Regions from separate parts of the Mus musculus genome. Here region 2 is reported to be linked to region 1. Evidence: microRNA targets listed by miRTarBase, many of them from high-throughput screens and not tested one by one. Region 1 holds a microRNA gene; the other region holds the end of a gene's coding sequence.

Region 1 (3,410 bases):
ATGTAGTATATGTATATGATGTATATGAATTCTTTCAGTTTTGTTCCTCTAGAGAACCCTAATACATTGTGTGTCCATGTGTGCATGCACGTGTGTGCATTTCCTGTAAAGGCAAGGGGTACCTCAGGGGCTCCTCTGGAACAGCATCGCTTTGTTATGTGAGACAGTTGTCGCTCGCTGTCTGTCAAGCCAGCCCCAGCCATGCACTTGTCTCCTCCTTCCAGGGCTGGGACTGGATTGTAAGTGTGCACTGCCATGCTTGGCTTTGAACCTAGTGACCCCTTATCTTAGCAATCTTATATCCCAGAAAAAATTCAACATGTGAAAGGGCTGTGCACCCAAAGATGTTCACTGCAGTGACGTTTATGATGGTGTAGTCAGGGTTCTCTAGAGTAACAAAACTTATAGAATGAATATATATGTATATAGTGTATATGTAAATATATATATATGTGTGTATATATATATATGTGTGTATATGTATATATATATATGAATATGATGTCTATATATGGGATTTCTTAGGATGACTTACAGGCCCTGGTTCAGCTATTCCAGCAGTGACTGACTGAATGAAAAGTCAAAGGGTTCAGTAGTTGTTTCATCCACAAAGCTGCATAACTCAGAGCATCTTCAGTAGATGTCAGATTCCTGAACAAGGCTCTAATGCTGCTGAAGGAATGGACTTGCTAGAAAGATTGAGAATTAAACAGGCAGAGAGAGGGGAGGGGAGGGGGAGGGGGGAGGGGGAGAGAGAGAGAGAGAGAGAGAAATTTCATTCTTTCATGTCCTTATATAGGCTTCCAGCCAAAAGGTAGCCCAGGTTAAAGGCGTGTCTCAGTCCAGGTTAAAGGCGTGTCTGTCTTCCTACCTCTGAGTTGTGTATTAGGAGCAGCTCTTTCAACTTCAGATTTAGCAAAAATCCCTCACTCATGTGCCCTCCATTTTCCTTTAAAATTTAGTTCATTCCAGATGTAAGCAAATTGGCAACCGATGGTTGCCATCGCAGATGGTGAAAAATGTTTACAGATTCGTGAAGCTGTGGGCAAAGCTGGCAGCATGGCTCAGTCACTTAGGGATGTGGTATAAACCTTCAAAAGCAGAGGCGGCGAAGGCCCATGCTGGCAGGGACACATGCTGATAGTAGCTGCGGTGGCTGCGGGAAGCCAGGACCTCAGTGCCTGCTATGCAGTTGTTCATGAGCTCTGGCTCCGAAGGTTCATGAGCAGCTGCAAAGGTGTTGCTGCTGTCAAGAACACTTCTTTGGCTTCAAAGATTCCAGCACTTGTTAGACCTTCTAAAACACAATGTAAAGTAGGCAGGGGCTACTCAGAGGGTAAAGGTGCTTGCTGTCAATCTCAGTGGCCTGAGTTCAATCCCCAGGACCCACATTGGGTAGAATCCAAGGACTAACTTTTGAAAATTGTCTCTGACCTCTGCATGTGTGCTGTGGCACTCCCACAGCACACACTCACATGCACACACTCCCACAGCACACACTCACATGTACACACTCACACAGCACACATTCACATGCACACACTCACAGTACACACATGTACACACTCACACAGCACACATTCACATGCACACACTCACACATTCACACATGCATACATACTACTCACCCACTCACATATGTGTGCACAAAATAAGTGAAGGTAAAAACCTACAGTGAAGAGCCTCTCCGTACTGTTTCTCTAGGGCTGGATCCTGGACGGCATCCCTGAGAGGCGGGAGCAGGCTCTGATGATCCAGACCCTGGGGCTGGCGCCCAAGCACGTCAGTGAGTAAACCCCTGGACCCTGCTGCCCTGAGCATGCACTGCTCTTTAGTGCTGGCACTGCCCATCCTCTACCCTGGGCCCAATCACTGCTCACAGGACGGTCTCAAGGGCCTGGAACCCAGCAAGAAAAGACATTAGGTGAAGTCCAGCCTCATTGACAGGCTAAATCTACTGAGGACTAGTCAGTAAGAAAAGCAGGGTTCCTCGTGTAAGGAATGTCCCTGCTGTGGGTCTCTTTAGGAAACGAAGGGAAGGAAGGGTGGCAGGGTCTGAATCACAGAGACCTCTACTCTATGATTTTACACAGTGAAAATTGGTGGCCAGGGACATATCCCACCATGGACTGGTCTCAGAATGGTTTAGTGCCATCTGGGAGATGGGTAACATGGGGGGGGGTGGGGTTGAATGTGATCACATGGCAGAGGACTCAGGCATGTGGCACCTGATCCCAGCACACCTGGTTTGTTCCTTTCTTCTCTGCCCAGTTGTGCTTAATGCTCCAGACACTGTCCTGATCGAGAGAAATGTGGGCAAGCGGATCGACCCTGTCACCGGAGGTACGACCCCACCCGAGGGATTCAAAGACTGGGAGAGAATGCCCCTGTCCCACTGTCTACTCTAGGCACCCAGGGGGTTGTCTCAGACTCAGAAGCCACCAGAAACAGAAATCCCAGAAGTCGGGGAAGAGGTCATCTTGGGTGAAGGCAGCCTTGTCCTTAGGAAATGGGACTCTGGGTATTGACTATGTCCAGAAGCTAGACTCTGCAGAGCTGGTCTTGGGGCTCAGGTTCATGCACGGGGGACATTGCTCAGCGGGGCTGGTGTCCCTCTTCCTGGGAAGCCGTGCACCCCACGTTGCTTGCTCTGTGTGTGGAGGAGTACGGTGTATGAGTTGCCTAAAGAACTACGAGTGCTGTGAATGGGATCTTAAGTAGCCACATCGACAGGGCTGGGGGACAAGGGGAAGGTGCCTTTCTTGGGCTTGGTTTTCTCTGGACTTGGGGTGAAAGCTCAAATTCTGTGAGGATGAATTGAGTCTGCAGGGCCCATCCAGGGCCTAGCACAAAGCGAGAACTCAGAGATCCATGGTTGCCCTCAGTTCCAGGCTGAGAGGAACCACTGTGTTTTTTCTTGAGGTGATCTGGAGTCTCTGAGTCATGGAGTCTAGATTGGCCTTGTGCTTGCTATGTAGGTGAGGAGGACTTTGAACTCCTGATCCTCTTGCCTCCATTATAGAAGGCCGAAGAAGAGGGAGGCACTTGAGGGACCCCAGCTTCGGAATGTTCTGGAGGGGGAATGGTATACTGGCCTTAGGTCTGAGAGAGTTGCCATGACTCCATCACGCCTGGTTTTTGCCATGCTGGGAATTGAACCCAGGGCTTTGTGGATTTGAAGCAAACACTTTATCAACTAAGCTACATCTGTCCCCAACCTCATCATTATTTGTTGTTGCTATGAGTAACAACTGATGTGATCCATGCGTCGTCGTTGTTAGTGAGACACTTGCTGACTGGGAATGGTCAGCCACATCCCTGGGCAGCACCAGGCAGGCAGTGCAGCAGAGCCTGCAGCAGCCATGGGTGCTTCTCTAACCCCGTGCCTCTCCCGGTGCAGAGATCTATCA
Region 2 (3,410 bases), not on the chromosome of region 1:
TTTATCCAACTTAGGAATCCAGTTGTGTTAAGCTCTGCATCTTAAACATTTCCAGTAAAGACATGACCATTATGTGTGGGAGGACAGGCATACTTTAGAAATGCAATGTTTTCTTAACCACCTCAAGAGTTAAAAGAAATGCTCTCTACAGACTCCCGAGTCCCATGGCAAACACTGTTAACAATCACCGTCTTCTGATTTGTACTCAGTACAAGGTTTTTTTTTAACCTAAGCCTTTCCCCCAATAACCTGAATTAAAAAAAAAAAAAAAAACAGAAAACTTACAAATTGTGATATTTATTTGTTGTTAGTGCTACGAATCAGATTCAGGGTATCACACATGCTAGGCAAGGGCTGTAGCACTGAGTCACCCCACAGCCTGGTCTGCATTTGTAACATGGAGTCATTGCCATGATTTTTATTGGTAATTGTATTTTTATTTATTTATTTTGAATACAGATCTTTCTGCAAGAGTAGATGCAGTTAAGGAAGAAAATCTGAAGCTAAAGTCGGAAAATCAAGTTCTCGGACAATATATAGAAAACCTCATGTCTGCTTCTAGTGTTTTTCAAACAACTGATACAAAAAGCAAAAGGAAGTAAAGGGCTCACCTCCCTCTCTTCTATGGATTGCTGCTTTTTTTCTTCCCCCTTAAGGCTTGGATATGATCCAAAAGTTAGAGTATCTTTGTTCTTCCCTGAGTATTTATAAAGAGAATGTCACATCTAGGTAACACTAATGCTGAACAGGAGCATCTCTGAGTTAACGCTATATGTATACGTTAGTCTATGAAAATGTGCACATGTAGAGACTTTATATTAGAATTACAGATATTTATGAAACTTGAAGATGAATGTTTTGCCAATTTGCTTATATATATATAGGTTTAGCACTGTCTTTTATCATAAGCCTAACTAGTAAAATATACAAAAAAATAACCATGTTGTGAAAAGTGACCAAAACCATGTACTGAATGCACAGCTTCTGTACCTTGTGCACCGTCTTGTGCCTCTCCCATCTCCCTCCCTGACGGTAACTTCAGCAGTTTCTCCTACAAGAGTAACCTAAACTAGAATTGTTGACACTTAACCAAAATAAGACACTTTCTTATCTAAGGCTTGCCGTTTGTGATATTTAGTAATAAGATAGGATTGCTGGTTTCTCTTTAATCAATCGAAAGTAGATTGAAGCTATAGAAAATGAAGAGTTTTCTTTGAAATGTAAACTGCCACACTGAGAAGCTAAAAACTCCCTATTGCATAAAATAGTTCATTTGGTGTTGAAAAGATAGGAATGCTGGTCATATGTGTGTGAGAAATTAAAAAACAACAAACAAACAAAAAACTTGAGAAAAGATAGGAATAAGAAGGAAAACTGGATTAACAGAAATAACCAGCTCGCAGTGTTTTCCCTCTAAATGTGTATTACCTCTGGCCCACAGCTGCACTTTGGGGACATATATGAAAGTGGACTGAGTCTAATGTAAGTGGATTAAGAGAGACTAGTTAAGAGTTTGGTCTCAAAGTTTATTTGTACCCAGGAAATGAACTTTTGCAAAATTAATTGAGAGTATATTAATATCAGAATCATGAATATAAGAGTTTTGTATATGTGATAATTATTAACCTCGGTATTTTATCTCAGTTGTTTTCCCAGAATTTCTGTAAACTCAACTACTTAGTTTGCAGAATTTTAGTCATTCTTTTAACAAATTTTAAAAATTTAGTTTGTAGCTTCCATTTGATAAGGAGCTGATATCAGAAATAATAGTGAAGTCTTATAATAGGAAAGATCCACTAATGCAGCTGGTGGCTCTTAGGCTGGGCTGCTTTGACTTGTGGAATTATCTAATGTATTAATGTAAGCCTTGATGAGTGACGTTAGCTATATGGATGTGTAATCCTCACATTGCAGACATTTTGCAACCCTTTTGTGACCTTGTTACAGATATTTAAAATTGTGTTCAAGTTCTGCTTTGCTGTTTAATAAAAAGCTGTTTCAGAGGTTTTGTGTGTGTGTGTGTTTTGATACACTTGCTAAGTACATGTGCATTGGGTATCCAGGGTTTGCAGTATCACATTGTAATAGTGTATCTTATTTAAGCACCCAAGACTGCTACAGGGCAGTCTTTAGTAGCACAGTGTTGCAGAAGCTTACCCTTTATTGAAGTTCTAGGGAAGGGGGCTGGCTTAGGGTTAGGCTCCTTCCCCTCACTTGTTCCCAGGCTAGAGGGCTCTGCTGCATAGATTGTTCTGTCATGGCTTCTGCATCATCAGTTACACTATTCATTCTATTTACAGGAAAGAGTTTGTGAGTGCCCAGAATCTAGGTATGAAGAGTTCTGTCTTGAAATGGTCCAGGCCTCTTTACATCCAAAGCCTCGGATTGGCTGAGCAGTGTGATTTCTTCCATGTGGGAGGAAGTGAAGGACTTGTCCTAGCAGTCCTAGCCACAGCTTGATCTCTTGCTACAAAGTCTCTGGAACTATGTTTCCTCACAGAGAAAGCATTCCAGCACCCCACCTCCGTGCCCCAATCCAGCTAAGGATTGAGCTTAAAATCCAAGATCTCCCTTGAGGTCCCTCAGTTTATCTGTTCTCACTTTTTCCCTGGTCTAGAGTATTATGGGACAGGATAGCCAAGTAGAAAGCTCTCAGTGTGCGATGTGGAGTAGAGACACTTAGATCTGAGGCAGTGGTGGAATGGAACTTGGACACAAGTCCCTGGATATAGACCCTGACTCTGACCAAGGCTTTCCTTTCTCACTAGCTTTTGTGGCTTTCCCCTTCAAAGTTATTCCATACCCACCCCACCTCCACCCCTAAGGTTGAGAAAACCGTCCAGTTGTTGGCAAGAGCTTGGTGCCCCTTATTTTAAGTCAAGCTCAAGGGTTTTGTTTTGTTTTGTTTTGGCTAGTATAGCGTTCTCAAACAAAAAAACTGAAGCCTTTTACCTAGTTTACATCTCTTCCATCTGTTTGCTATATGCACTGAGGTTAGAGGACAGCCTACAAGAGTCTGTCCTATTTCCCACCATGTGAGTTCTGGGGACCAAGCTCATGTAGTTGGACTGTACCCTAGCTTGAGCCATCTTGCTTTGAAACCTTTTATCTTTGTACTCTCAGTCTGTGTGTCAGGGACAGTCAAACTTTCTTCTAGCCCTGACTCAAGCTTTTTTTCTCTAGGACTTGACTCTGTAACAGAGGCAACTACCTTAGGGCCCACTGAAATGCAGGTGGGAGAGCTGGCCCTGGGGTCTGCAGAGCTGGAGAGCTAGCCCTGCCCCTCACCAGTTGCAACACTTTGGTAGAGTGGGCTCTGCGCCTCACCTGGGCAGCATAATAAAGCTGTTCCTGCTGGAGTGGTTGTGGGTGAGCTGACCCCCAGGGGCATGAGAGCAGAAGAGCTGGCT

Evidence for each region. Region 1 holds the annotated microRNA mmu-miR-3088-3p (UUCAUGAGCAGCUGCAAAGGUGU, at 1,219-1,241, shown strand). A microRNA usually pairs through its seed, bases 2 to 8, with sites in the 3' UTR of a target mRNA and lowers its output. Matches are read on the target gene's strand: a 7mer-m8 pairs with bases 2 to 8, a 7mer-A1 pairs with bases 2 to 7 and ends in A, and an 8mer does both.
Region 2: miRTarBase lists Scoc as a target of mmu-miR-3088-3p. Seed matches in the 3' UTR shown: 7mer-A1 at 1,587-1,593.

What each region holds. Positions count from the first base shown.
Region 1 is chr2:28,732,103-28,735,512 of GRCm38, forward strand. It overlaps Mir3088 (microRNA 3088), which reads left to right and starts at 1,176; the gene lies at 1,176-1,249. Ak8 (adenylate kinase 8) reads left to right here. Exons shown (of 13, transcript NM_001033874.2): 6 at 1,705-1,786; 7 at 2,272-2,343; 8 at 3,401-3,410.
Region 2 is chr8:83,433,090-83,436,499 of GRCm38, reverse strand. Scoc (short coiled-coil protein) reads left to right here. Exons shown (of 4, transcript NM_019708.4): 4 at 460-2,008. The coding sequence ends at 602. Among named protein-coding and RNA genes, the nearest start is that of Scoc, 7.9 kb to the left of the region's middle.